Linked DNA regions of Notamacropus eugenii. The protein of the gene in region 1 binds, or shares a complex with, the protein of each later gene. Links are inferred from orthologs where the notes say so. Each region holds a gene or a part of one and is shown in the gene's direction. Other genes may lie near its edges.

Evidence for each region.
Region 2: the proteins of INTS1 (region 1) and INTS7 are in contact, whole or in part, in a cryo-EM structure (PDB 8RC4), measured with the Homo sapiens proteins. The link is inferred for Notamacropus eugenii from reciprocal best matches to the Homo sapiens genes INTS1 and INTS7. Residues at the interface, in NP_001073922.2 of Homo sapiens: Leu1378, Gln1381, Gln1382, Gly1385, Gln1386, Ala1389, His1429, Phe1430, Leu1431, Cys1433, Pro1434, Arg1437, Gln1438, Cys1440, Gln1441, Pro1476, Ala1479, Gln1480, Met1483, Leu1484, Gln1487, Arg1552, Pro1554, His1555, Leu1556, Glu1557, Glu1558, Pro1613, Ser1614, Gly1616; in NP_056249.1 of Homo sapiens: His150, Asp151, Leu187, Ala188, Thr189, Pro190, Val191, Lys194, Thr223, Ser224, Tyr225, Pro226, Ser227, Thr228, Asn262, Asp263, Pro264, Arg265, Lys266, Pro303, Tyr304, Gln349, Glu350, Cys352, Tyr353, His354, Asn355, Arg357, Ala360, Gln384.
Region 3: INTS1 (region 1) and INTS4 share a complex: the UniProt entries of both Homo sapiens proteins name them as parts of the integrator complex. The link is inferred for Notamacropus eugenii from reciprocal best matches to the Homo sapiens genes INTS1 and INTS4.
Region 4: INTS1 (region 1) and INTS9 share a complex: the UniProt entries of both Homo sapiens proteins name them as parts of the integrator complex. The link is inferred for Notamacropus eugenii from reciprocal best matches to the Homo sapiens genes INTS1 and INTS9.

Annotation. Positions count from the first base shown.
Region 1 is NC_092874.1:388,117,268-388,124,900, forward strand, and holds the start of INTS1 (integrator complex subunit 1), read left to right. Parts: upstream 1-4,631; 5' UTR 4,632-4,756; coding exon 4,757-4,817; exon of another isoform or gene 4,818-4,837; intron 4,838-5,157; coding exon 5,158-5,253; intron 5,254-6,513; coding exon 6,514-6,804; intron 6,805-7,633. UniProt on the Homo sapiens protein: Component of the integrator complex, a multiprotein complex that terminates RNA polymerase II (Pol II) transcription in the promoter-proximal region of genes.
Region 2 is NC_092873.1:426,295,552-426,303,471, forward strand, and holds the start of INTS7 (integrator complex subunit 7), read left to right. Parts: upstream 1-4,915; 5' UTR 4,916-5,044; coding exon 5,045-5,138; exon of another isoform or gene 5,139-5,146; intron 5,147-7,920. Other genes in the region: DTL (denticleless protein homolog), read right to left, coding at 4,516-4,660. UniProt on the Homo sapiens protein: Component of the integrator complex, a multiprotein complex that terminates RNA polymerase II (Pol II) transcription in the promoter-proximal region of genes.
Region 3 is NC_092876.1:125,486,413-125,494,358, forward strand, and holds the start of INTS4 (integrator complex subunit 4), read left to right. Parts: upstream 1-4,931; 5' UTR 4,932-5,257; coding exon 5,258-5,311; intron 5,312-7,410; coding exon 7,411-7,605; intron 7,606-7,946. UniProt on the Homo sapiens protein: Component of the integrator complex, a multiprotein complex that terminates RNA polymerase II (Pol II) transcription in the promoter-proximal region of genes.
Region 4 is NC_092872.1:608,467,099-608,473,929, reverse strand, and holds the start of INTS9 (integrator complex subunit 9), read left to right. Parts: upstream 1-3,817; 5' UTR 3,818-4,110; coding exon 4,111-4,119; intron 4,120-6,831. UniProt on the Homo sapiens protein: Component of the integrator complex, a multiprotein complex that terminates RNA polymerase II (Pol II) transcription in the promoter-proximal region of genes.

The DNA of each region.
Region 1 (7,633 bases):
ACAGACCTCTGTTCTGCTCCTGGTATTTCTTCTGGAGTTGCTGGGCAGCAAACACCATATTGACTGTTCTACAGTCCTTTCTGAAGCCACACTGGCTCTCAGGTATATGACCATCCTTTAGGTGAAGGGTCAGCCTATTAAGGAGAACTCTAGCCAGAACTTTGCCAGCAATGACTAAGACAGAGATCCCCCTGTGATTGTCACAGGACTCTCTATTCACTTTACCCTTAAAGAGATGGACAATGGAGATATCCTTGAACTCCTGGGGGATAACCTCCTCTTGCCATATAATCTGGAAACTTTCAAACAGCTTTTGTATGATCAATGGGCCCCCTACCTTGTAAATCTCAGCTGGAATAGAATCAGCACCAGGTGCTTTGCCATATGAAAGGAAGGATTGACTTCAACCTGAGGTAAATGGTCAATGACCTCAGCATTGATTGATGATGGTTTACTGAGAACACTAAGGAAGTGCTCAGCCCATCTCTCTAGGATCATGTCCTTACCACTAATCAATGTGGCTCCATCAGCACTGAGTAGTTGTGATGCACCATAGGTTTTTGGTCCATAAATAGCTTTCAGGGAATCATAAAAGCACTTTGGATTGTTACTATCAGTATAAAACTGAATTTCATCTGCCTTCTTACTGAGCCAGGAATCCTGCATCTTTCTAAGCTTTGCTTGTACTTTGCTTTTGATGGAATTAAATGCTGCCTTTTTAGAGGTGGATGAACTATCCTGCTGGTAAATCCTGTGGAGTTCTCATTTTTCATTTAGCAGCTTCTTAATTTCCCCATCATTTTCATCAAAACAGTCTTGGTGTTTGCAAGTGTTCTGACTTAGATGAGCAAATGCAGTGCTGTACACCAAATCTCTAAAAGCTTCCCACTCCTTTTCTGCTCCACTATTGCCAACTGTGTGCTGGCTCAACTATCCCTCCAAGTCAGCAACAAACTATTTGCACCCAGAGAAGAGCTCTAATTTGTTGAGATTAACTCTTCTGGTGGTCATTTTGCCTTGGGGGTGGCACTTTTGAGGAATGAGAATATTTAGCTTGGAAAGAATATGTCTATGATCACTCCAGCACTCTGCACCGCACATTGCCTTTGTCACTCTCACATCTTGTCTGTCTTGTCTCCTTACAATCACATAGTCTATTAGATGCCAACGTTTGCTGTGATGGTGCATCCATGAAGTTTTATTGCATTTAGGTAAACAGAAAACAGTGTTGGTGATGAGAAGGTCATGCAGTGTACAAGTCTTCAGCAGTAAATGACCATTGCTGTTGCTGTTTCCAACTCCATTCCTCCCTAGGACTCCCTGCCAAGTCTGGTAGTCTGAGCCTACTCTAGCATTAAAGTTGTCTGGAATTATAAACTTGTCCTCTTTTGGCACACTGACGATAAAGGGTTTCCAGGTCTCCATAAAATTTTTCTTTGATTTCATCAAGGTTTGTCATGGTGGGAGCAGAGGCACTGATGATGGTGGCATGGCATTTTCCTGTGAATGGCAATTGCATTGTCATGAGTCTGTTATTCACTCCTTTTGGCAGGCATACCAGCTTTCTTACTAGCTTAGTTTTGATTGCAAAACCCATGCCAGCTTCATGGCACTCCCCTTCACTACTCCCACTCCAGAAAAAGGTGTATCCATGCCAGCTTCAGTAAGTTGATCTTCATTTGCCAACCTTGTTTCACTTAAGGCTGCTATTTGGATGCTACATCTGTTGAGTTCTCTTACAACAAGAGCAGTTCATCTTTCAGGTCTACTGGATTTTGTGTTGTCTGTTAGTATGCCAATGGTAAGTGGAATCATCTTTGCAGATGTTTTCATACATTTTGTACATTTTTTTGTGTTTCAACCACATATTGGGATTCCCTGCCTGCCATGGTAATCAGGCCAGGATTGAGTACGCAGACAATGTTTAGGGCATCTTTTCTGGCCCCCTTCCTCACACCAGGAGGTGAGCAGTGCGATCCTTAAAAGGCTGCTCAGACACCCAGAGGGCTGCTGAGTCCCACTGCTGCTTTCAATGAGAAACAACCCTAAGGCCTGAGCTGCCTGTGTGCAGGGTTGTGACTACAGCTCCCAGTGTAGCTGCACCTACTGCTTCATCACTTGCTTGTTGCTACAGGACTTTGAGGCATAATAGTAAAATGGTATGGGTGATGTCTTTTGATTTGTGCATAAATGGGATTTAAGTGAGCAGAGTTGCACAAAGTCGTCAGCCTCACTCTGTCCTCCAGCGTCATCATAGTCCAGTGGCAGGACAGAGTCGAGATGGCTGGTGATGGCTCAGGCTTCAGTGGATGACGTTGGCATCTTTGGTGTCTAACCATGCTCTAAGCACTCCACATTGCCTGCTTCATCTGCCTTCATGGCTGTTCGAACAAATTGTTCTCATACGCCCATTCCACCGGAGGAAGTCTTCACATGTTTGGGGTAGACACCCCCCTAACTCACTAATGGGTTTGAGAACCCTTGGTTACCCTCAATCTGGTTTGACTGGTAGGCCAAAATGGTTTACCAGGTTGTGGCCGCTGCACATGTTGCAGCTTCTTGGATCCACAGGTGAGAGTTAGATGGAACAGGTGGACACAAAAGGTGGAAGCCATCACACCAAAGGCACTGGTCCTCCCTGAACCACCCTACACCCCAACAATATACATACATATACACATACATATATATACATACACACACACACACACACATATATATATACGTATAAACGCATATACGTGTGTATATCTCCATATCCCCTTTTACCTTTCCAGTCTTCTTACTTCTTACTCCCCACCAGGTATTTTGCATTCTAGTTATACCGGCCTGCCGACTGTTTCACATCTCTCAGCTCTGGGCATTTTCTCTGGCTATTCCCCATGCCTGGAACATCCTCCCTCCTCTACTCTGATTATGGACCTTCCTGACTTCCTTTAAGTCCCAATGAAAAACTCTTCTACAGGAAGCCTTGCCCAACCCCTCTGAATCCCAGTGCTCATCCTCTTTTAATTACTTCCTATTTGTCCTGTATAGCTTGTTTTTGTTTATGTGGTCTCCCCTATTAGACTATCAGCTCCTTGAGGGTTGGACTGTTAGTGCTTTAGCACAGTGCCTGGAATACAGCAGGTACTTAATGTTTAATTGAATGAATGAACATCTGACCACTCCTTCTGAGTCTTCTTTGCTCTGTCTTCATGGAGGTCATGCTTCTAACCACAGGTGTCCCATAGAGCTCTGTCTGGGCCCTCTTCTCCTCTCTATATGGTGAATCTCATCAGCTCCCACGGTTCAATTACTCTCTCTCTGTTGATTTTTAAACCTACTTATCCATTCCTAACCTCTCCTCTGACTCACATCTCAACCAATCATAGGATAAGTTGAACTAGATGTCCTGCAGACATGGTACACCAGATACACCCCAAAATGAACTCATTATCTTTTCCCCAAAACATTCTAAACTTCCCTATTACTGTCACAGGTACCACCATCCTCTCAGTCACCAAGGTCAAAACCTAGGTGTTTTTCAGTCTCAGGGCAACCCCCCATATCCAACGTATTCATAAGCCTAACCCTACATGATGAAAACCCTAAGACTGAGAATATAATTATTGCATGGGAAAGATCTAAAGAAGGACAGCCCATTCCTAGGCACAGGGGGATAAGCAAAGGCCTGGGAGAGGAGGCCTCTGACACGGACATCACAAGGAGGATTTCAAGGCTGGCAGAATGGTTGGCCGAGTCGCTTGTCTGTGACACAGAGGCCATGAAGGAGACTTGCGTTAAGGAAGGACAGATTGTGGAAGGCCCTGCATGACAGGCTATTCATTCTAGAGGCAAAGGGAGGCCCTGAAGGTAAAGCTGAGCGGCGGGTTTAGGTAGCAGAATCCACTGAGATTAGAAAGGAATTTTTATTACGTATTTATAACAGGTAAATGTACATTTGTATATTCACTTATTCAACATGAATTTACACGAGGACAGAATGAGACGCCGCAGCATGAATGGGGGACGTTCTCGGTGGATCACCTCTTCTCCTTCGGAACCAGCGCGATTCCCCTTCACCCGGACCTTTCCGGCACCGCAGGCCCGCTTTGTGGGGGGGGTGAGTGATGACTGGTGAGGACGCCCCTCCTCACAAGGCAGATGCGCGCATGGAGAAGCTGGATCCGCGTGTCCGAGGCAGGATCCGAACCCAGGCCTTCCTGACTCCTGACGGAGGACGGGGGATCCCCTCAATCCCTCCCTGCACGTCCCTCGGCGGGGGGCAGAGGGGGGACGTTCTGGCTAAAGGCTGGCAAGAGAAAATCCACGGATGCCCACGTTCCCCCCTGATCCTTATCCCTCCCACGGCTGGAGAAGTCCCAGGGAGAATGAGGAAGGCTCCTAGACTGCTGGAGCGCTTGAAGGGAGGGGACAGAGCAAGGCTGCCACCGCCGCTTCGGGGCAGGAGAAGGGACTCCCCGGCTCTCCCCGGTCCGGAGCATGCGCGGTTGGGCACGGACCCCTCCTGGGGAAGGGGCGGGGCGGACCAGAGCGAGGCTGCAGTTCCGCCTCCCGGCCGCGTGACTTCGGGGAGGCGCTGTCGTCACGGCAGGCCCCGCGCTAGGCTCCGCCCCAATCCCATGCTCCTCCGAGCTATTTTGGTTCCGGGACGGCGCGGAACTCGAGGTGGGGGGAGAAAGAGAGGAGAGAAGAGAGAGAGGGAGAGAGAGAGAGAAAGAAAGAGAGAGACGGAGAGAGCGAGAGGAGGCAGATGAGTTTCCGGATCCGGCGCGGCGGTGGCGGCGGTGGCGGTGGTGGCGGCAAGACTGAGGGTCCGTGTTGTGGGCTGTAGGTGGGTGAGCTGGGTGCATTCGCCGGGACACCCCGCCGCCCGGGCTCGGACCTCGGGCTCCTTTCTCCGGCCGGAGACGTCACCCTCCCCGGGCCCCGCCCGGCTCCCTCTTCCTGAGACGACGTGCACCCCCCCCTTCCCATAATCCTCTTCGGGGGAGGCTCCCCTGACCTCAAGGCCCCCCCTCTGACCACCGCTCCTCCCTCCCCGCCCCCTTCCCCTCTGGCCCTCTGAGCCACCGTAGGGGCGTCGGGCCCCCTCCCCCCACCGTGGCCGCCTCCGCGCTCCGGCCCGCCTGACTCCCGCCCCTCTCTCCGCAGGCGACCCCGCGGCCCCCGGGAACGCCAAGCTGGGCAAGATGAACCGAGCCAAGCCGACCACGGTCCGCAGGCCCAGCGCCGTGGCCAAGCCTTCTGGTGAGCGCCGGCCGCTGCGCCCCGGGTCACCCCCCCGCAGTGCCCCCATCCGTGAAACGGGGGTGTCGGCGTTGAGAACTCCGGGGTGACAAGGCCCGGAGGGCTCTGTGCCTCGGTCTCCTCATTTGTAAAATAAGGGGTTGGGGCGTTCCCTTCAGCTTTAGATCTGAAATTCTGTGAGTTGAGGAGACTGAAATCCGGACCCAGCGGACCTGGGTTCGAGTCCGGTTCTGTCACTTTACCCCCTTGGGCCTCAGTTGTAGGACTCTTCAGGCCATTCTGTGTCTGCACAGAGGATTTCCCAGTCTTAGCGCAGTTTTAAACTTGTAAAGAGGAGAGCTGCATGAGAACCTTCGCCGGTGCCCTGTGTTACTGGGCGCGGAGCTGGGACCTCCGAGTCAGAAAAGACTTAGGTTGGAGTCTCTGCCAGTGATTTCAGTGGTCCTTCCTCCATGGGCAGTTCATCTAACCCTTCTTCCCCTCGGTTTCCTCCTCTGTAAAGTGGAGACGGTAATACCCCAGTATACATAATAGTATATATTTATGTAAGACGTATCTCGAGGCAGAAGGGAAGTGATGGAAAGTGCTTTGCAAACTTTAAAGCCCTACATACAGTTTCTGTTATTGTACACAAAGAAAAGAGTGAGAATATTTGCTGAGATAAATTTCTGGTTTTTTAATTCTGATTAACGTAGTGCTTGTAGTAAACTAGAATTCATTTAAAAGCCAAAGACAATTCTTAGAAAATGAGCCTCCAAAAGAAGTCGCCCAACCCCATAGATGCCCTCATGTCTTTTGTGCTGTGAAGCCTTGATCTCAGATTGCAGTTTAAGGAGAAATGGTATAGCTTTTACAGGAATGCGGGTTAATTTATAAGAGAGGCATGATATAGTGGAAGGAACGCTGGACAGTGGGTTAGGAGACATGGATTCTACTTCCAGCTCATTACCTGTATGACCTAATGGGTAAATTACTTCACCTCTTGGCCTTAGTATAAGATTAGATTCAGGGGCAGGAAACTGTGGCCTTCTAGGTCCTTGGGGTTTGACCTTTTGACTGAGTCCAAGTTTTACAGAACAAATCCTTTTATTAAGGGGATTTATTCTGTGAAGTTTGTATTTAATCAAAGGGCCCCACTTGACCTAGAGGGCCACAAGTGACTTTAAGGCCGGAGGTTCCCCACCTCTGGATTAGATGATCTCTACGGGGACCCTTCAGTTTTGGGATTCTGTGATTTCTCTCTTTTTTTCTCTTCTGTAGGGCACCCTCCACCAGGGGATTTCATTGCATTGGGCTCAAAAGGCCAAGCCAATGAGTCAAAAGCAACAGTAGCATTGCTGAAGCCAGCTCCCTCAGGTTTACCTTCTGAACGGAAGCGAGATGCTGCATCTGCGTTATCTGGAGCCTCAGCCCTGACTGGCCTCACAAAACGTCCCAAGCTTTCCTCTACTCCTCCACTCAGTGCCTTGGGGCGCCTGGCTGAGGCGGCTGTGGCAGAAAAACGAGCCATTTCCCCCTCTATCAAGGAACCATCTGTGGTACCAATTGAAGGTAAAGTAATTTTCTGTAGACTATTCCATGTAACAAGTCTTATGGGTAATCAGTTCAGCAAGTACTTAACTGAGTATCCACTGTGTACTTAACACTGTTTGAGTCACTGTGGGACTTGAGAAGTAGCTTGGTGCTTTGGAAAGAGCATTGGACCTGAAGTCAGAAGAGACCTGGATTATGAAATGGGGAGGATATGCTTTTTCACAGGGTTATTGTGAAACTCAAATCAGTGAACATATGTAAAGTACTTTGTAAACCTATATAAAGATTGGTTAAGTCTACAAAAACTCAGATGATATGTGCAAAGCACTATATTAGGGATACTGAGATAAAAACAAGCCAACAGCCCTTGCCCTTGAGGCCCTTTCTTATAATAGGGGATCCATCATGTAAACAGGTAAGTAAATATGAGGTAATTTGAGGGAGACAGAGCACCAACAACTGGGGAGATCAAGAAAGACTTTTATTAAGTAGGAGGTGACATCTGAGTTGAACTTTGAAAGGAAGCTAAGGATTCCTAGAACTGGTGGTTATCAAGGAGTGTGTTCCAGGTTGGAGGAAGGGGGGGGGGGGCAATGAGCATAAATGCAGGGGATGGCAAGCTGAATTCTGGAAGTGGATAGTGTCGAAAATTCTGGAAAGGTAAACTGGAAACATTGTGAGGCCCTTGGGAAAGTTGTTTAACCTTTGTAAGTCTAAGTTTTCTCCTCTGTAAAATGAGGGGAGGAAGTCAGTGCAGAGGGGGAGGTCAAATATGAGAGAGAGCAGTGGACCAGACAATAGTCCTGAGGAATAGGAACTGGACTCAGGAGCACAGGTGGAAGGTCGA
Region 2 (7,920 bases), on another chromosome or scaffold:
GAAGAGTCACACACGACCAAACAATAACGCTGATGACTCTCAAATCTCCCCATCTTGTCCTAACCTCTCTTCTGACTGCCTATTTCCCTTCTCCAACTGCCTTTCAGACAACTCAAACTGCATGTTCAGTAGACTTAAAATCAATTAAACTCACTATCATTCCCTCTACACCCTCTCTGTGCTACCTGTCCAAGGCAACCCCACTCTCCCTGGCCCTCAGGGTCACAAAGTAGGTGTTATCCTCAACTCCTCATGCTCTCTCACTGCCCAAATCCAATCTGTTGCTAAGGCCTATCAATTTCAATTTTGCAACATCCCTGGAATATACCTTCTTCTCTCCTCTGACACTGTAACCAACATTGTGCAGGCCCTCATCACTTCATGCTTGGACTTTTGCAATAGCCAACTGAGCCTACCTGCCTCAAGTCTCTCCCAACTCCATTACATCCTCCATTCCACTGCTACTTTCAGACTGACCAACAAACACTATTATTTACACTATTGTTATTATACTTGTTGTGGGCAGTAGTCTTATTTCCTAAATAAACTCCCTAAGGGCATCATCTAACAAACTTTTTTTGATTATATATTAGGTTAGGGGTATCAAGAAATATATTATGTCTTACACTTACACATAAAGATATGGAGATATAGGTTTGTTAAAGCCAAACAGATTTGGCTTTAACAAATACCCTTTCTTAGCGTAGAATCAATGGCAAATGAACAGTATAGGTGTACTAAAAACATTTTCATTGGAGAAACTGGGAAACACAGGAGATGAAACTTAAAATTGATTTTGAAAGGAAAGTCAGGACCTAAGACAGGAGTGGGGAACCTGCGACTTCCAGGTCACATGTGGTCTTCTGGGTCCCTGGATGCAGCTTTTTGACTGAGTCCAACTTTTACAGAACAAATCCTTTTATTATGGGGATCTGTTCTGTGAAGTTTGCATTCAGGCAAAGGGCAGCCCTTGGAGACCTAGAGGGTCACATGTGGCCTCAAGGCCACAGATTGCCCACCTCTGATCTAATACTTGGCTCTTTTTTGGATCCATGATGACTCTCCATAAATGTAAAACACATCCCTCTCACTCCTCCCCTAGCCTTATTATGGATAATATATTTTCCAGTAAGTACATGGAGGATGTACCCAATCTTCTAACTTATTTTGTAACAATCTTCTAATCTTTCTGCAAAGGCAGAGAGGCAGGAATGTGGACAACATGAAAAGAACAGGTTGGGCTGATTACACAGATTCCTTAGAGAAGTTCTCTATATAAAGTTAGATGTGTGTGTACTTCCCCTGCCTTCCTTGCAAAGGTAAAGAACTATTGATGTGGAATACTACCTATAAAATCAGACTTTTTTCAAATGCTGACTAATTTTGCCACTTTTCATAATAGTTATAAAGGATAGCTCTCCAGAAAGGAGGAAATACCGGGAAATATAGATAAGCTAAAAACAAATGATATCAACAATCTATGTTTTAACCATTTTAAATAGGTGTGTGTAAAGGGAGTGGTTGAACAGGGCTTTGAATAATAGCTAAAGAATAGCATAGGCAATGGAAGTCTTTTTAAGATTTCTGAACAGAGGGGACAGAAGAATGACATAAGCAAGGCAATGTTTAGGGAGATTAATTTGCTAAAGATGAGTGGTAGACTAGAGACAGAGCAGGTAGATTACTATTTCAGTAGTTCTGATATGAGATAAAGTGGGCTTCGACATGAATGGTGGCAATCTGAATGGAAAGAAAGAAGCAGATATGAGATATATTAGGAAGGAATAATCAATAGGATTTGAAATCTGATTAGATGAATGAAAAACATGTACTTTATTCCAAGGGGTCAACAATCACCTCATGAGACTTATGTGAAAACCAGTTTTATTTTACAAGAGAAACGAACAAGCATGTGGAACCCAAAGAGTTCACAGTCCTTACAGAAGTTTGCATATTTATGACAGTACAACAAAAGGAGGAGGAAAAAACATATATTTCCACCTAAAAGGTATGACATGGGAGGGGAAAGGTGCAGTAAAGCTCCTCCTGAAGGGGAGGAACAAGGTGATGGCAAAAGCCAAATTCTTTTACCTTGGAAACCACTAAACCATAAGTTCCCAAACTTATTTAGCCTATTGCCCCCTTTTCCAAAAAGAAAAATTATTCAGTGCCCCTCTGAAGTTAGGTAACCCTTTACTTTTATTCAAGGCCCCTCAAATGCAGGTGAGGCTATGATTCCCCCCCAATCTTTTGATAGGAGGAGTCCTGCTTATCTGCAAAGGACCCCAGCTGCACAAATATTTTCCCAGATTGGCACAGATTGTCTGGTGCCTGTCTTGTCTCCCAAGGACACACAGTAATCCAGGTCCGGGTGCAAACAACAAATTATGTCAGCTGCGGGGCAGCTTTGTCCCAAACACATGCAGGGCTGGCCTCCTGCATGCTCTGGGTCTAGTGTTTCTGGAAAATATGGCAACTCAAAAAGACAAGTTCAGGGGACCCCATAACAAAGCACTGTGCTGTCCTGGGGATACAGAATCAAAAGCAGAGAGACTGCTCTCAAAGAAGTTTGTATTCCAAAAGATTAGGAATAGTGAAAGAGGAGACTATGTGGGAAAGGGAAGAAATTCCAGATTGGACACTAAGTTTGGGGGAAAGGTGAGAGTTTAATTTTAAAATGTAAGTGATAACTGAATATTTTGTAGATGAATAGAGATCCAAGAACCCATGTCTTAAACCAGAATTCTCTGATACACAAATCCCTTATACATAAAAATGGTCAATTCATACTATTGCGCCAGGGACAGACTTTCTTTGGAAGAATTCTCTAAGGCATATTATTCCTTTCTTACTACTTGCCAAGCTGCTCTATTTCACTATGGTGGAAGAGAGGTGAAAAGCACTCAAATAATGCTATCACAATCCTTTCCTTCTCGTTTCCCACAGAAACAATGCCATATAATGGTTATTAGGTTCTCTAATCAGAATATAATACCGTCTGGTACTATTTCATCTTCATTGTGGATTAAACAGGTAAGAAATCTAACCACAATTTACAATATTGTTTCCGTGGGGAAATGTGTGAACTCGACCAATTTACAAAGAACTTTTGAAACACAAATAATTTTCAAGTGACCTGTACTTCTTTGTACATCCATCAAAACAGGCACCTGCAGTACTTAGTGCCATAAAATTAACATTTGCTTGATTAGCAAGTATTCCATATTCTTGATTAATGTGCTTTAAAAAACTGTTTTGCTGTTTCTAAGTTGTGCATTTGGTTCATCTGTAAGAATGTCTGCCCCAAACAAAGTCAATCTGAATACTAGAGAGGTTTTAATTCTAAATAGATCTCTCAGTACAACAGACATTTATTAAGAGCCTAATATAAGATGTTTCAAAAATGCAGTTTTTTAAGCACTAAGAGGTTTGGGACACTTTGTACTTGCAAGGAATTGTACTGGAAATACAAAGGTGAAAAAAAATGAAAGGGGTCTCAGCCCCTAAGATATTTGTAATATAATGGTAGGAGGGGTACACCACGGATACGCACAAGTATAATAAGGGAATCAGGGAATTCGAAGGGGGAGAGCTGAACAGGAAGAGATAAGATAAGAATTGGTTTCTAGGCCTAGGAGTCAGAGTTAAATGGAGGAGAGATGGGGGAGGAATCTTGCAGGAAGATAAGGACCGAGGCGTCCTTGAGCTCGCAACCCTCCCGGACAATCCACAACAATTTAACCATTTATTTGGTACCAGACACGGGGCTCAGTCCGGGGGATACAAAGAAGAGGCAAACACTCGGTGCCTGCCCCAAGTCCCCAGGTTTGGATTCACTCAGCTCCTCCTCGGAGCCGCTCTGGGGGTGTAAAGCACTCCCAGGGTAACGGGGAACCATCAGCACGCAGGGCACGCACCGAGCTCGCCCCAGAGCAAGGGCCTCCAGGAAGGCGGAATCGAGATTTTGGTGGGATCTGGGCCCCTCGAGATGCGCGTGTTCTAAGGGTCCACATGTAAAAAACCTGTTCAAACAGGATACGTCGTAGGTAAACGGGAGGTGAGGAGGGAGGATGGGAGGGGGCGGGGGGGAGGACTAGGGCAGGCCCCTGCGGGTGGGATCTGAGCCGAGTCTGGGAAACTAGATCGGGAAAGGAGAAACATGAACCTAAGTTAGCGCTAATCTAGCGCTTTCAGAGTCGCCCAAGGCTCGGACTTTTTAAGGGGGATCTCAAGGGATCACCCCTTCCCTCATCCCGCAGAGACAGCCCTGGACCCGCGGTTTCGGAAGCGCACTCCAAGCCGCCAGCCGTCCTCGAGTTCCCATCCAGCCTCGGCGGGCGGGGGGAGGGGTCACCGCAAGCTCTCTCCATCCCCTGGGGCGCCCCGGCCGCAACGAAAGCCCGGGGCTCCGATCAGGGGGGCTGAGCGCCCGGGTAGCGGAGGGGAGGGGGAGAGCGAGGCAGCCCGAGACCTGGGGACGCCGACCTGCCAGCGACCGTTAGAACCGTTACTTACCATTCCCAATCGCGCCCAGGCGGGGCTGGCGGAGGAGCGAATGGAACAGCATCTGAGGCGGCGGGAAAAGGCCGGGGAGCAGAGGAAACCCGCAGGCGGTGCAAAACCTACAGCCCCCACGCCCTCTCCCCCGTCCCCAGCCCATTTATACCGGCTAACTCCCGCCACCACCGGCTCCAGCCAACAAACTCCGCGCCAAACTGACGAAACGCCACCTGATTGGCTCCTGCCGTTCCATCGCTGAGACGCAAGCCACGCCTCCTTCGAGATCCCCGCCTCCTTCTCACCCGCCCTCCCTCCTCCCACTGAGGAAGCCCCAGGGCGAGTGGCTATTGGCTCCGTTTGCGCCTGCGCCGGGTGAAGACGAAAGGCTGAACGGCGGAGCACTTAGGCCGCATGCGCGGTATTAGCTGGCAGAAAGCCGAGGTAGGGGGGAAGAAAACACGCGAGAACAAATTGGAGGGAGATGGTTGCGTTGCTGCGGAGTTTCTAATCCTGAATAGGCTTGTCTAATTACTGTTAGAGCGCCATGGCGTCGAATTCGAGCAAATCTTTCTTGGCAGACGCCGGCTATGGCGAACAGGAACTGGATGCGAACTCAGCCCTCATGGAACTGGATAAAGGTATCACGGTAGCTAACCGTCCGCGTCAAAATGGGAGGGGGGGAAGGACGGGGAGAAATGGCGCCACCAGCTGGTCGAGGCCTGAAGACGAGCTAGGGGCGCATGCGCGGTAACCTTGGCAGTGGGGGTAGTCCTTTTTCTCGGAAGCTGGCACGGTTTGTTCCACGCTTTCCGTGGGTCGCGGGAGGTGTGGGAGGTGAACTTTGAAATGCCCGCAGCCTCAAGCTGGAGGGCTTGGAGGGGGAAGGGGAAAGCGTTCGGGGCCGGGGGCGTGGAGCCCTGGATTCACGCGCCAGCCACGCACCTGCTGTCAAACCTTTAGCTTCCCCAAAGTCGAACTGGTTTATAAAAATCTTGGGCCTGTTAAAAGTACGTGCCTTCTGAGCCCGGCATTTGATTGTTGGGTCGTCTCCGACTCCCAGGGACCACATCAGGCCTTTCTGGGCCAAGCGGCTAACGACCCACAGGTTAAAGGATTCCCCCGGGGTCACGGCTGGGGTCGCATTTGAACTCGGGTCTCCCTGACTCCTGGCCCACCGCCTCTGCATTGCGCCCCCTAGCTTGGATTGATGGACCTTCTGGACTTGGGTTTGTCGCATTTGCAGCGAATACCGCGGAGGAAGGGCTTTTGTCACTGTTTTTGACTCACCTATGAGAGCAAAGTAGAACAAATGGTTTTTATTTTTAAACGTTGAAAGCGCCTTAGCTGTTTCTATTACCCAGCGCAAGAAGTTGGTCAGATTTGCAAGAATACAGGTCGTTCCCCAGTTGACAAGTTTGTCCAGGGATGTGAACAAGCAGTTTTCAGATGAAGATATCAAAGCTAACTGTACTCGTATGAAAAAATGCTCCAAATCACTACTGATTGGAGAAATACCAATTAAAACAACTCTGAGGTGTCACCTCACACCTATCAGATTGGCTGATATGGCAAAAATGGAAAATGTTAAATGTGGAGAGCATATGGAAGAATTAGAACACTAATGCATTGTTGGTGGAATTGTAAACTGATCCAGCCAGTCTTGTGAGTAATTTAGGACTGTGCCTAAAGGACTGGAAAACCGGGCATACGCTTTGAACCAGCACAATTACGTCTATATTTCTAAAAACTCCTGTGGCTCTCAAGGGTAAAGAAAAAAATTTTGTTTTTGGCACTTAAAGCCCTCCAGAATCTGACTCCAGCTTCCTTCTTCAGACCAGGCACTGAAAGGCTGAGGAGAAAATAAGACCAGTTGTCTGGGTTTAAGGACCTTACAGTTTAATGGGAGAAGACAACTGTGTGTAAGCAAGGCATCTGCAAGATAAATTGGAAATAATGTCTAAGGAAAGGCACTAAAGGAAGGTTTCCTGCAGAAGATGAGAGAAGCAGAGGAAAGAAAGAGAACCATGGAAAATGTGCTGGTGAAGGAGTGTCCCTTGTGAGGAATAAATAGCAGGTGCCACTGGATTGCAGAGTTAGGAGGGAGGGATTAAGGTATAAGAACTTGGAAAAGGTTTTTATACTTGATCCTGGAGGGAGCCATTGGTGTTGATTGAATAGGTGAGGATGTGGGCCAAGAAGACAGCTTTGATAGAAGAGTGAAGGATGGATTGGAGGAGAGACTTGAGGTAGGGAGACCAAGCAAAAAGATATTGCAATAGTCCAGGTGATGAGGGCCCAGCACCAAAGTAGTTTTCATGTTAGAGAAGAGAAGGGGCCTACTCTAGAAATGTTGTAAGGTGGGAAAAGATAAGCAATAAATTGAATATGGGGGCTAGGCTGAGAGAGAGTGAGGGCTGGATAAGTGGATTTGAAGATAGTTGGTGTAGACATAGGAACTGAATCCATAGGAACTGAAGAGATCACTATGTAAAGCAGTATGGGGGAGATATGTTCTGTCTAGGACAAAACCTTAGGGGAACCCCCCACAGTTAGTGGATATGTATGGCTTGGATGGAAATCCAGCAAAGGATACTGAAAAGGAACAGATTGGTAAGGGAACCATGTGGTCTTTAAAAAGGTTCAAGAGACATAATTTTCTGGATAATTTGATAATTTTATTAATAATATCTTAATTTTAATTAAATTTGGCTGTCTCTCTTTTAGACCAGAGATAATCATGGGGCAGGCTCACTGCTTCTCTGCCCATTGGAAGAGGGGTGAGATCAGGGTGGCAATCAAGTCTGATTGACTAAAAATGAGAGAACGAATAGTGCAATGAGGGGCTGGACCTGAACTTTGATTATGACTTTTACTTCTAGGTTAGTTCTATCCTTGGGCAATCTATTCAAAGATTTTATCCCTACTCAGACCTGAATAGGGCACTGTGGCTTTCCCACCTGGGTGGTTTCTGAATCCTAGCTCATTAGTAATCTTTCATGATTAGTCTGATCTTTTAAAATCAGGACTTTGGAAAAGGGGGAGAACTCTGGATCTCCTCAAATCATTGGTTATTGATAATCATTTCTCTCAACCAGGAGAGTTATGTCACTAGAACCAAGAGAAAAGTGAGTGTTAAGGAAAAAAGAGTGATCAATAGTATCCAAAGGCTACAGAGAGGTTGAGAAGGGTAAGGATTGAAAAAAGGCCATTGAATTTGACAATTGACAGATCATTAATAACTTTGGAGAGAGGAGTTTCAGTGGAATGATGAAGCTTTCTGGAAGCCATGCAGTAGAGATTTGAGAATGAGAGAAAAGGACGAGGTAGCACATTAGTCAGTAGTTAAGTAAACATTTATTAAAGGCCTGCCACATGCCAGGCACTGTGCTAAGCTTTGGAGACATTAAATGCAAAAGGAAA
Region 3 (7,946 bases), on another chromosome or scaffold:
AACTACTGTTAGAAAAAAGGATGTGCCCCAGTGATCAACACAAATGTGGCAAGCAGGTTCTTGGGAAGTGGTATTTGGGACCCTAGCTTAGTGATGATGTCATATCCCATGACTTAAAATGGTTCCTTATGACACCAAGTTTTTCCTCAAAGAAACAAACATTTATTTGAATAAACACATTTTTATTTATAAAAAGAAAATCTTTACAGGTGCGGACATCTGTAGGGTGGAGAGGCCTTCTATATCTTTGTAGGGGTCTTTGGGGGTCCAAATTACTGAGAAAAATCCTGCCAGGGATCATCAAGGTGGGTAGAGAAACGTGCTGTTTTTGACACCTACCTACTCTATAAGCTTCATTCGACTGTTAGAAAGCACAAGACCCTGCATGGCAAATCAATTTTGCATGTTTAAAAATCAGTGTTAAATTATCTATATGTATTCTTTTCTTTTAAAAATTATAAACTCAACAATCTCAGCAAATGCAAACAAAAATTTAAAACTAAATGAAAGCCATGTAATCAAAACTATTTAATTTTTTTAAAGAACACATTTTAACAAACTGACAACAATAAGTCCGAGTCCTTTTCTATCTTTGAAGTTTTGTAGTGATTGTCATCTCCTCATGGTATGGTCACCCTGAGTTCTTGAGGATATGCTAGGAAGTACGAGTTCTGGAAAAGCTTTAATATGGGTCTGGAAATTGACTACATTTATTATTCAAGGATCAGCCTAGCTAAGTTCAGAAAGGTTCATCAATTAGGAGGTTGATCACAAAGTAATGAATTTTTTAGTCACAGCAAATCATGAAACTTTCTATTACGGCATAGAGGGTCTTGTGGTGACAGGTGTCAATGAAGAGTATACATTATACATTCACCAATGAAAGCATGGATCCTTGAAGAAAGTAGTCAAAATATGTGTTGCTGTTCTACATCTACTTTCTTCACAATGCTGTATTTTGAATATCTTTATATTCCTCATATTTTCCATTTTAATAGTACCATTATAAATAGTTCTAGGGAACTTTTTTGATAGGCAACCCGATAATTTTGCTTTTCAATGTGTTTTGGGATGCTAATAATTCTGAGGTTCCCTTTCCTTAATCAGTTCTCTCAATCTATAACATTATTCTGCAATGCTTACATATTTTTCACAAATGTGTTATTATTTTTATCTTCAACATTTTTATTTAAAGTTTTGAGTTCCAAATTCTTTCCCTCCCCTTCTCCCTCCCTTAGATGGTAAGCAATAAGATACAGGTTATACATGTGCAATTGTGTAAAACATTTCCATATTAGTCATTCTGTAAGACTTGAATAAAAGGGAAAAATAAAGTGAAAAATAGCATGCTTTAGTCTGTATTCAGTCAATATCAGTTCTTTCCCTGGATGCAGAAAGCATGTTTTATCATTAGTCCTTTGGAACTGTCTTAGATCATTGTACTGCTGAGAATAGCTAAGTCATTCACAGTTCTTCATTGAACAATATTGCTGTTGCTGTGTACAACGTTCTCCTGATTCTGTTCACTTCAACATGCATCAGTTAATGTAAGTATTTCCAGGTTTTTCTGAAATCACCCTGCTTGTCATTTCTTATAGTGCAATAATAGTCCTTTACAATCATACCACAGCTTGTTTAGCTATTCCCCAATTGAGGGGCACCCCCTAGGTTTCTATCTGCTATAAACTGCTATAAATATTCTTGCACAAACAGGTCCTTTTTCCTTTTGGGGGATCTCTTTGAGATACAGACCTAGCAGTGGTATTGCTGGATCAAAGGGTATGCACAGTTTTATAGCCCTTTGGGCATAGTTCCAAATTGCTCTCCAGAATGGATCAGTTCACAAGGTGAATTATTTTTTGAATTGGCTTTTCTCCTTCAATTGCATTATCTTGCTGCTCTTTGCTCCACTGCATTAATTCTGCTTTTAGCTATATCCAGTGAAATTTTCAAGTCCTCTAAGCTATTTTCTAGTTTTATCTGGCTTTGTTTGCTTGTTATGTTCTCCTGGGATTTCTTAGCTGCATTCATTTCTTCTTTTATTTCCTCTAGGACTCTTTTTTCTAAGTTTGATTCTTCTTTAATTCCTTGTATGTGCCTTTGATCTGTGTCAGCGCATCTCCAAAGATTCTTTGTGTTGTTTTAGATGTAACTTCTGACACTGTCTCAGGGTGCCTTCTTTCTGGCATTTCCCCCTTCTTTCAGTAATTTAAAAAAAAATTAATATTAGAATTTGTTGCCTTTTTGGTCAGTTCCAGGTTTCTTTCTGATATTTCTATTGCTCTTCATTAGGAGGATCATGAGGACCCTCGATCCTTGTTAACTCACACCAACAGCGTTCCTTTAAATATATTTTGAAAGTTTAGTTCTGATGTAAATTGAACTTTTTCTAACCCCAGTCTTTCACAAGTCAGTCTAAATGGAAGCAGTTTATATAGGATTCTATGAATTAGAACAGATTGTTAATAACAGTCCTAGGTAACAGTTAAAATGCAAGTTTCATTTTTCATACAATTACCTGCTAAAGTTCTGATTACAAAGTGGGAAGCTTAAGAGAATTAGCACAGCTGTTGGGAATTCTTATGAATAAGAGACAATCAGGGACTTTATTCCCCATGACATTCTCAAGGCTAGACACATTGGCCTACTGCCTAACTGCTCTCTTATTGCTTTTCCAGATGTCTTATGGGATAAGGATGGCAAGGATTCTCCTCCTTGAAATTCTTGGCTTCCATATGTCTTTGGCCTATTCTCTCATCCTTCTCTACCATTTTCTCTTGCTCCCTAATTGAATCACTAAAATTCAATCATTACACCCCTTTTCTTCTCTCAGTACATTTCTTCAGAAAGCACATGCATATATTCTCACAGCTTCAACCACTGCTTCTATGCAGATGACTCCCAAGACTTTTTCTTCCCTCCGCTCAAAGCTCCAAATCCCCTTTCAACTTAACATATCCTGAATTCACAACCTTCTCCCAACCTATTGACCCTCTTGGTTTTTCTCTTTTAATGGCATTTTAAAATCTCTCATTCACACCAACTCAAAACCTTAGAGTCAAGTCTGAATTCAAATCTGAAATTACTATCTTTTTTTATCTTAGTCAAGTCATGTAACCACTACATTCTGTTTCTTCATCTGTAAAATAAGGCAGTTGGACTGGACGGTCTCTGATGTACTTTCCAGCTCTAGATTCATGACCTTTTAAGTCTTGTTAATCTCTCTCTCTTCTTTAAATTCCTGCAACACTGAACTCCTGCTACTTTGAAATGCTAGCAAATTAATAAATCTAGAGCTGGAAGGGATTTCAGAAGTCATATAATCCCACTCCCTCATTTTACAGATGAAGAAATTAAGACTACTGAAATCAAGAGACTTGGCTAAGGTTATACTAGTAATAAGCATCAGAGGTGGCATTTGAACCCTAAACTAGTGTTTTTACTACCATGCCAAGCTGCACTACAGTCTCTTGCTATCACTCTAAGTTAGCGTCCTCTTCCTTCTCTCTTGTCATAGCATCTAACTAGATTCCTTTCTTTCTGTCTCTCTTCTGACCAGAAAAGACTGATCTCATCATGTGGGCACCCCACTGCCAGTGATGGGGCCAATTTGGGTTCTCAAAGAATAACATTCATTGATAGGTCACTCCTACAAACCCCTGCCAGAGCTTGTAGTTGTTCTGTTTGTCCTCTGTCCTCGTGGCATGGAGAAGATAATAGGTGATGCTGCCACTTGCAAGTAAAGTGACTGAAGTGAAGGAGGGCTGTGCAAAGTCAACAGCCTCTTTCTCTCCTTTGGAGTCATCTGAGTCTCTTTCCCCTCACACAGATCCTCCCCAACTCCCCTTCCAACTCACAGACCCCTCACCCCCATTTCCTTCACACATACTCCCACTCCCTCTTACCATAACCCCACATTCACTCCCTTTTTCTCTATGCCTTGACGCCTAACATATCCTTTCTTCTACCATGTCCCCTGGCTTAAAAGACGCCAAGGTCTCTCATTGCATCCTGAGCTGTTGCCAGTCATTCTGATGAATCTGGTCATTGGATCCATATGGCTCTAGAGGAGAAAATGAGGTTGGTGACCTTGTACAGCCCTCCCTTAGTCAAATGAAAGTCAACTGGAAGTCATGTCATCATCTTGATGTCACAGGTCCTCTTCAGAACGAAGGACAAACACAACAACAACCTCCCCGTACAAATCCCTATCCCCTCACCCTTCCTCCCTACTCTTCACATAGGTCTTTTTCTCTCCTGTCCCCCACTTTCCCATCAGATATCCCCCACGCTTTCTCTCCACCACACTCACTCTTTTTATCTCCCACCATCTACACTCGTATCCTCCTCTTCTCTCTTCTTTCTCCTTTCCTCCATTTCTTCCCTTCACATTCCCTCCTTCTTTCCTCCCAGCCCCCATCTTCACCCCATCCTCTGCCTACCCTCCCATCCCCCGCATCCCCTACTCCCTTTCATCCCTCACTCCCTCCCCCTTCTCTCCTCCTCCCGCCTCCCTACACGCCCCTTCCCACCCCCCCACTTTCTACCATCCCTCACTCCCCCCTCACACAAGCTTCCCCTCCCCCTCTCCCCCAGACATTCTTTCTTTTCATACATTCGCCCATAGCTCTCCCCGTCCTTCCCCTTCACAAAAACTCTGCCCTAGTTAGTGGGCATCCTCTCCTCAGTCACCCCGGGCCCAGCCCCCACCCAGCGCCTCCCTCACTCAACCACACTTCTCTCCTGCTCCAGGGACAAACCCGGCTCCGCGTTTTTCCGCTCGCTCCACCTTCAGTTCCGCCCCTCCACGAGCTCCACCCAATTACCACGCGCCGCGGCCGGCCGCCCTCGTTCACTGGCTACCTGCCCACCCAAGCCCCGCCCCCTCTCCCTGCTACCTCTCCACCTCTTCTCCTGTCTCTTTCCTCCTCTTGTTTTCATTCCCGAAGTCGCACGAGGCTCATCTGTTGCAGGGGGAGTGGGGGCGGGGGCGGGCGCGGGAGATCGAGCGCCTTGAGGGGGAAGGGAAGCTCACATTATCCACGCCACTCCTCCTTCCCCGCTGCATTGTGGGATACTGGAGTCCCAGTCCTAGCTCCGACCTCCACTTCCCTTCCCCTCCCGCGCTCAGCGGGACTCTCCACGGCTGCGGGGGGGGGGGGGTGGGGGGAGGCCCGGTCGAGGCTACGGCGGCCGGGAAGGGCCGGCCCGGAAGAGAAAGGCGGCGCTGGAGGTGCTGTTTGCCCCAGCCGCCGCCATGGCCGCGCATCTAAAGAAGCGGGTGTATGAAGAGTTCACCAAAGTCGTGCAGGTAAACGGCCCTCGGCCTGGCGGACTGCGGCAGCAGCTGGGGAGCAGGACCGTGGGTCCCGGGGCGCCACCTCCGAGGGCTCCTCTCGAGGCCCGGCCGGCTCCTAGTTCCGCATCGGTCTCGCCGATCCCTTGTTCTCCAGACCTCAGTTTCCTCCTCTGTACAATGGGCACAGTCATCTCGTAGCGTTCTTGCTAGGGCTGTAAGCAGTGAGGGTCAGCTGAGTTGGGGGGGACTTGAGAGGCCGCCCAGCCCAGCCCCCAGAGCTCTGTTGGGAAGTTCAAGCTCCTTCCAGCCTAACTTTACCTTTTGGCTTTTGTGCTGGGCCCAGCCTATTTGTGTGATCACCAAACGTGCTCCTCCCGAGATAGCTCAGTCCTAGGAGATAACGGGAACCCAGGTCCCATCCCTCCCTCTGTAGCGGAGGAATGTGGAAGTCACACAAACTACTCTTTGGGGCTCGGCCAGCTCATCTCTGCAATGGGCTGCACAGCCAGGTAGTTCTAGAAGCAGCTTGTAGCTCAGGCAGATACTAAGGGAAGTTTTGTGGTATTGGGTGGAAAAGAACAGTAGGCAGAATTGTGGATACAAAGTATCTAAAATGAATAAAAAGTTACATCTCCCAGGTTGTGGTCTAGAGGAAGCCACTGTAGAAAGTGGCTCTGGATGGCAGGTGTAGAAGTGTCCAAGTGAGGAACTCTAGAGCTTCCCAGGCCTAGGGGGACAAGCCGTGGAAAAATAGGGAGAGGAAGTGGAACAGGGTGTATCACATATAATCAGCCTTAAAGGTAGGGTACTGCCAAATTGTTAAGGCCTTTAAATGCCAAGTAGAGGTGTTTGTATTGTATCCAGGAAGGAATAAGGAGCCACCGAAGCTTCTTGAATGAAAGCATGAGGTTAAAAATGGGTGAGTGAGCTGGACGAGAATACAACAGAGGTAAAATCTGCCCATTCCGTTAAAGAGTTCATAGTCTATTCAGAGAGATGAAGTTTAAAAACTATGTACCAACAAGATATCCTAAAGACTGCTTTAGGAATATGAATTTGGCAGTTGTTTGGGATATGAATTTGGAGAACAGAGTTTGAATGTAGGAAGACCAGTTTAGAAGATTTACCTTTTTTTTTTTTTTGATTACAGATCATTTTGATCATACCTTGAGTAACTTAAAGAAGCTGTTCATTGAATAGGTGTATCTCACTCAAAGTGAGAGTGTGACCTTAGCCTGAAAGGGCCAGGGTTCCACATTACATCCTGGGCCATCTCCAGTCATCCTGATGAATATCTGGTCACTGGATTCAGATGGCTCTGGAGGAGAAAGTGAGGCTGGTGACCTTGCACAGCCCTCCCTCACTCAAATCAAAGTCAACTGCAAGTCATGTCATCATCTTGATGCCATGGTCTTCTTCGAGAACAAAGGACAAACACAACAACAGTAGTATAGACCAGAGCATATGAAGGTCTATGAACAAGTTGTGTGAGTAGAGAAAGCAGGACAAATGGTAGAGATGTGGAGGTAGAGGTTTGTCAGCTGAATGGATAATGTCAGGGTGAAAGAAAGGGAGAAGTTAAGAATGATTCCACTTACTTGTTGTGTTCTAAGTTTTAAGCAGTACCTAAGTGTATTTTTTTTTGTCGTGCCAACTCTGTGACCCATTTGAGATTTCCTTGGCAGAAATATTGGAATGGTTTGCCATTTCCTTCTCTAGCTCATTTTTACAGATGAAGAAACTGAGGCAAACAGAGTTAAGTGATTTACCCAGGGTCATACTACTAGTAAGTGTGTGAGGATGTGAACTTGGGTCTTCTTGGCTGCAGCTCTATATTCTTCACCTAGCTGCCAAATATGTCTATTAGAGAAATGTAAAACAAAGCGCCGTGTAACATCTGAGGTGGGGAGGTCAGTCTCATGGAATCAATCAGTTAACAAGCCTTTATTGGGTGATGCTTCCTGATGTGCCTGCACTGCTACTCACTGGAGAGAACACAGAATCCATAGAACTTCGCAACTCATCTGTAATTTAGTCTTAGAGAGTTGACTGGAGGGATTTTTATTTTCTTATTTTCCTTCACCAAGGTAATCTGCTTTAATCCATTGCAGCAACAACATGAAGAAATTGCAACCAAGAAGCTCCGGCTGACAAAACCAAGTAAGTCAGCAGCACTCCACATAGATCTTTGCAAAGCCACTTCCCCAGCAGATGCCTTGCAGTATCTCCTTCAATTTGCTCGAAAACCAGTGGAGGCCGAGAGTGTGGAGGGAGTTGTCAGAATTCTCTTGGAACATTATTACAAGGTAAGGAGACTACCCCTGAATTCCTCCTGAGATGCCTCTTTGTGGGGCATTCTGGGTTCTCAAAGTCTGGGTCAGAAGAGTGATAAACCTTGGGAAGAACCTGCCAAGTTAGACTGGCTTGAGACATTTGGCTAAATTGTACATTGGATGGAGGAGAGAACCAGAGGAAATGATGGTGTGAAAGTAAAGGTCTTACCAGATGCTGCATTTCACAGATATTGCAGGTTTTTGGTTTTTTTTACAAACTGAAGGTTTGTGGCAACCATGCAATTGAGCAGGTCTATCTGTGTCATTTTTCCAGCAGCACATGCTCACATCATGTCTCTGTGTCACATTTTGGT
Region 4 (6,831 bases), on another chromosome or scaffold:
GGCTGCAATAATGATGAAGATTTATTTCAAGACATCTTAAAATAACAAGTAATATGCAGGGAAAATATGAGATTTGGAGAGGCTTGTATTCAAATCAGCTGTGCATCTATGTGACTGGCCATGGGTGAACTATTATAAGTTTTTCTTGAGCAAATTAGTATACATTCATTATACTATTACATCTAATTTAGGAAAAAGTAAGGATGAACAATGAACTATGTACAATACTAAAAACTGAAGATTCACCAAAAAAGAATGGAAAAATACTGGATGGAGAATCAGGAGATGTGAGTTCTAGTCCTAACTCTGTCATAACTCACTCTGTTAGTTGACCTTGGGCAAGTTACTAAACCTTGCTGAGTTTTAGTTTTCTCATCTGAAAAATGAGGGAACTGGATTAGAAGACTTCCAAAAATCATCCTGCAATTCTAATATTACACACAGATGCGCACATGCATGCATGTGTGCACACGCAGGCACACACATGCATACACACACACTCTTTAAAGTTGATCTCTAAAGGTGTCTTAACGTTAGTTTGCAGATAAAAGTTCAGTAAATCTATTGCATTAAATAAGCAACAGATTCAGTTAAAACAGTGCAGATTTTCACATTCACATATTACAGGAAACATTTTTAGATGAGATCACATGAAAATAAATGTGTCTTTCACAGTTACAGGACAAAATTTTAAGTTGGCCAGGCAACCAATGCCCTGATTTTCCACTTCTTTTCGCAGACCATATGACTTCCACATGCTGAGAGTGTTTTAGGCTGTAACCTGCAATGAAGATTTTACAATGTTCCAGCAATTCAATAACCAATGCTTAAAATGCAATAGTTAAAACTTCACTTGAATAAGCATGAATTACAAATCAACATTTCAACTCAAATATTGCACAGGGATAGGAAAGTTGGTGAGTTTTTTCCTAAAATATGTTGTTCTCATTTCAAAAGAAACATCAAAGAAGTAAATCAATAAATGTTAATTGAAAAACAGAGCAATGGGAAGTAGACAGGTTAAGAGATATTCCTTGATATTTATCTTTTCACTTTCATTTTTCTTTTGCTTTCTAAATAATTTAATTTCCACACATAAATTTCTATAGATACTTTCTATTGCACAGTTTTATAAGATCTTTTCCCTAAAGGGCTTTGTTTCATTTTCAAAATTATTCTAATGAACATTAATAAGATGTAAGCAAAAAATTTTAGAAAACTTAACATCTAACAACTGCAATGATGGTCTTGGAGGGGATCAAAATATTCAAGAATATAAAGTTCAGATTTAGAAAAAACATTAACTGTTTCTATATAGGTCAACCTAAATATACACTTGTTATCTCTCACATTTGCAGTTACCAGCCTGTTTATTAGTGTGAATGACCCATTCCAGAAAGTCTGAATTTCGTATCAAAGATCACAGTAGCTATGGGAATTCAGGTTTTCGTTGCTTCCAAGATCCCACGATGACAGCATAACAATGAGTATCAAGAACCAGTACATTTGGGATAAATGCATATGAACACCTTAATTTTCTTAACACCTGAAAAAATTATAGCAACTCCATTCAAGAGTCCCTCTCACAGGAAAACGAGCAAACGTTCCAGAAAAAAACTTCACTTGGGGAATGGAACGAAGTGTTCAACACTCGATTTCCATCACTTAATGCCACCTTAAAAACGGTCAGAAACGCTAATGTGATTGAAGCTACAATTTTTAAAAATGTTATTGTAGTATATATTATAATATATACTAGTAAAATGTATACTATGTTATAATAGTAATCAAACTTTTAAAAAGTAGCTAAAATAATTTTTCCAGAGTTTTGATGCATATACATAATTCAAATGGTTGAAATAACTAGGCTTTAAAAAATAGGAATTAAGAAATTTAATGCAGGAAACCGCAATGCTAAACTGATAATTACCTCTGACAGAGCTGGCAGAAAAAATGATGCAGATTATTCCCCTCTAATGATTCGGGGAATAGCAAAGCCAAACAATATACAACCATATCGGGGGGAAAAAGAACAAATAAAAAGGCACAGAAGGTATTCTCAACACCCAGGAAACGTCAGCAGCCCCATAAGCAGATGGAAGAAGAAAGGAAAGAAGATAAGCTAAAAAGACAGACCCAAGGGAGGGCAACGTTGTGGGCACCTGAAGGACCCCGGCAGAAACTGGCTAGTCACCTCCCTGGCCAGACACTTCTGGACTTTTAACCCCCGGTGTAAACCAACCATACAATCTGTTTCTAAGTCAACTTTATTGGACACAGAATCTCTCCTTGAAAAACCAAAAGCATTCTTCCCTGCTCTCCCACATCCCGATCTCCAGCCACAGCGGAGGAGGAACAGGGTGGGGTAGAGGGAACAGGGAGCAGCATCTGTAACTTGCCCCCAAGCATTACCTCCCGCTGGATGTCCTACTACCAGCCCGAGTCCGACACCACAGGACCGGCAGTCGGGAAGCCGGGATTCTGAACTGTTCACACTAAGCCCCCTCCCACCTTGACAACGACCCCTCCTCGCACATTCTTTAAAAAAACACAATATTTACAAACAATAACACCCAAACCACCCTCAAGTAATTAAAAGCCGTTTTCACCTCGAGAGGAGGCACCCCAACCTACGGTTCGGGGGGGACGGCGGACGCCTTTCGGAGGAGCCCCGACGGTGTCACCGGAACACGGTTCCGGAAGAGAAGACGCGGGGCACTTTTTCGTTTCCCACCTCGGCAGCGCCCTAGTCCCCGGTCGCCCCCCGAGCCCGCGGCCAGCCCCTCGGTGGGGCAGGCGCGGGGAGCGCGGCCGGAACCCGCTCGGCAGCCCAGGCCCCGCTCTGTCCCCCGGTCCCTGTGCGCGCCTCCACCTCGCCGGGCGCCGGCCTCCTCCGCCCCGGGGCACCCCTCGCGCCCCCCCACCCCCAAAGTTAAGGACGCTTGAGAAAACCAAACGCACGCGCGCGCACCGACACCCCTCGAATCACCGCCTCACATTTTCTCAAACTCCAGCAGAGACCCTCACCCCGCGAGCTCCCCCATCTTCCGCCCGCAGGCAAAGGCGGCAGAGTTAGAGGGGACGGGAGTGGAGGCAGCCGGTGCCTTTGAGTTACCCGCCCTCCCCGAAAAAATAACCCTGCCCCACCCCGGACTCCGGTCACCTACCCAGACGCCCCTTTCAGACACCTCGTCGCCGCTGCCACCCCCCCAAACCCCCACCCTCGAGACCTCCAGGAAAGTGCGGAGGGGGAGAGGCTCGGGGTATCCGGCTGGAGAAAATCGCTCCACTCACCTCAGGAGCCCGGCTGAGTTCTCTCTCCGCCTCGCGGGCAACCCCCTCCCCAACGTCCCAAGAAGAAGGGCTGAGGTAGGGGGGGAGGGGTGTCTTCCGCACGGGGTCCCCGGCGGGAGGGGGACTGGGGAAGGGGGTGGAGGCCGACGTGGGAGGAGGGGAAGGGGGAGGGGAGGCCCCTATCTCCCAGTCTCCCCCTGAAAATCTCCCTTGTCTCAATCACATCAGACTGACTGTCTTTGTCTGGCTGACAACCGCCATATTGATATCAACAGCCCCGCTCCCACCTGCTGCCGCCGGGCGGCCCTGGGAGTTGTAGTTCCCTGATCCCTGGGGTAAAAGCACCAGCCGCAGCACCAAGCGGCCCCTGGGAACTACAGCTCCCGGCAAAGCCCGCGCCCTTCCTCTTCCCCATAGGGAGGAGGGAAAGGCAGACTCAGCACCAACCGGGACTACAGGTCCCACAATACCGCGGGCATTGGGTCCGGTGAGGGGACATGATATCATCTTGGGGTGTGGAAAGGTTAAAAGAAGAGGCGATGGGGATAAATCGTAGCCGACAGAGGGAGGAGTTCTGAAAGGAAGGGGAGGAAAAGGAAGAAGAATGACCACAGTTCCCATCATGAAGCCGCGGACATACTACAGTTCCCGTGATGCTCTGGGAGCCAGAGGGAGCAGGCAGAGGGAGTAGGAGTGAGGAAAAAGACTCGCTATTCCGTCATGCTCTAGGACGTTTGGCGGCAGCGGTTTAGCCGGAAGTCTCTTTTAGGGATTGAAGGAGTCCAGCCGTACACATTTAACAGCGAACATTTCAATATGAAGCTGGTGAGTGTTCCCTCGCGGGTCAGAGGGCGAGGGTGATGCTAGAATTTGGAAACTCGACGGCCTCTTATGTGGAAAGGAAACGAGGGGAGGAGGGGGGAATTGGTGGTGCAGAAAAGCATGCTGGGAGGAGGGTAGTTGGTGTGGGAGAGGGTGGCGGTCTGCAGCCTTCGCGTGCCCGTGGGACTTAACTCTTAAGCCCATTTCACGGACCGCTGGGGTTTGGCCCCGGGCCTGTGCCAAGGCCTTCACCACGCCCCGTCTAACAAGCATGTACCTTTTTCATTGTGCTGCCTGTAATGCGTTGAAAAGAGCCCTGATTTGGGGATCATAGCAACCTGAGTTCAAACTCCCCCCACTCATCTTTCTAACTTTGGGACAAGTAATTTGCTGGACTTGGGTTTCTCTTTTATAAAACAAAAGAAATGAACTGGATTGGAAGTACTTACCTTCTTGTGGCATGGACCCTTTGGCACATAGGAGACCCGCCATAAATGCTTATTGACCCCACTTGACTTGGCACTCAGGTGAAGCCTCTTATTTTTTTTCAGAATAATTTTTAAATACATTAAAATCCACAGGATTAAAAAACAGTTATAAAGCTATGGTTATCTAGATATTTTAAAAATCAAATTCATGGAACCTAGGGTAAGAATTGTTGGACTAACTCGTGTCAGGGATCCCTCCTAGATCTTCCATGAGTGTCCTAGCCATCACATTGAGGAGGTACCTGTTACCAGTCAGTCCGTCTGTTGTTTAGGGATTGCTGTGTGTGCAGCACTGAGCTACGTTGTGGAAGGTTAAAAAAAAAGTCCCTGCATTCCAGGAGCTCATAATTTTGTTAAAGAGTCAGGATAAAGATACATAAAACAGGGCATTGGTGCCAGGCAAAGGAAAGATCCACACAACAGAGAAGAAAGAGGGTGGACGTTGAACTAATAGGAGTTAGGCCAAATGTAACAAGCAAGTGGGCTGTGCTTTCCTTACTAGAGGAACAGCATTAGCAATGACCTGACAATTAGAAAGAGCATCCAGCCCCTTCCAACAAGAATTTATTATTAATCATTCACCTTGTACAAGGTCAGAGGCAGAATGACAGTAGATAGAAAGCTAGTTTCGGATCCAGGAAGCCCTGGGTTCAAGTCGTGCCCAGACACATGCAGTAGGTTGTGCCACTCAGAGCAAGTTGCTTAACCCTAGGCAACTCTTGACCAGGCCTGGAGTCGGGAACGCTAGTTGTATGACCTGGGCAAGTCAATTAATCCTGTTTACCTCAGTTTCCTTATCTGTAAAGTGAGCCGGAGAAAGAAATGGCAAACCACTCGAGTATCTTTGTCAAGAAAACTCCAAAAAGGAGTCATGAAAAGTTGGACGTGACTGGAAACAACTAGTCAACAAAAAATGTACAAGTCACCATGTAAGGTGCCAGAGACACAAAAGACAAAATAAAAATGTCCTTGCCCTCAGAGAACTTACACTCTACTGAGAGTTGTAACTGGAACATAACTATTAGAGGAGGAAGAAAATACTGACAACTAATGGAATTAAGCATGGCTTTTAAAGGAATTAGGAGAACAAATCACTGGAATAGAAAGTCCTACATCAGAAGTGAATGTTTTAAAGTCAGAGCAATTTTTATATACACACATATATATTTTGTTGTTTGTTTGTTTCAGTTGGGTCTGACTCTTCGTTTACCTATTTGGGGTTTTCTTGTCAGAGATAACTGGGGTTTTTTCTTTCTGCAGCTCATTTTACAAATGAGGAACTAAGACAAAGAAACAGTGTTGAGTGACTTGCCCAGGGTCACAAAGCTAATATGTGTCCAAGGCCATAGAACTCAGAAAGATGAGTCTTCCTGACTCCTGGCCCAGCACTCTATCCACTGTGCCACCTAGCTCTGTGTGTTTGTTGGGAACATGGGGGAGTTGTACATACACACATAGGTATTTATACATTCACACAGTAGTAATAGTTGACAGTATTAAGGAGATTATTTCTTGCACTGGTGTACCTGGGATTGGTTTGGAATTTTATCCCATAAAGCATGTGCTGAGGTACCCAGGTTGATTCTTGCAGCCCAAATGAGGCTCATGGTTGAAGGATTTGGGCATCTTAGAATGAAGAAACAGTCCCTTTGTTGGTTCCTTGATCCCATGATGGCAGCAGAGAGTGTCTGAATAAAGCATACAGATCATTCATCCAGGAAAGTGGTCCACCCAGGAAAAGAACTTTAAAAAAGTGACTGCCCTCTGGCTCTCTCTTCCCATCTGCCAAATATGAGACTTCTTTGAATTGTTCCCTGGAGGAGTGAGAGAAAGGCAGCTCATCTTCTCCCCCGCCCCAGCAGCATCATGTCTTTGAATATAGGGCAGCTAAAATACATAAATTGACTTAAGCTAGGCCTCTTGCTATCTCTTGTATTTTGTATTCCTTCTGTGAGCATAGGTGACCAAGCATCAAGCCTGAGATGGATGTGTCCAGCCTTGGAGGCAACCTTTTGTGTTAGAGATTTGATGCTCTTAGGTCCCTCAGGTAGAGCTGATTGGCAATAGTAGGATGTTCTTTACCTACATCCTTCTTTGAGAGGACCACAGATGGAGGAAGAATCTCTAAGCGTTGATGATGCAGAACACCATGACTTAAAGAGATTTGATTAGACAATGGAGAGCCAAAGTTAAAGTATAATGCTAGTCCAACAACTCTTTAAAATAC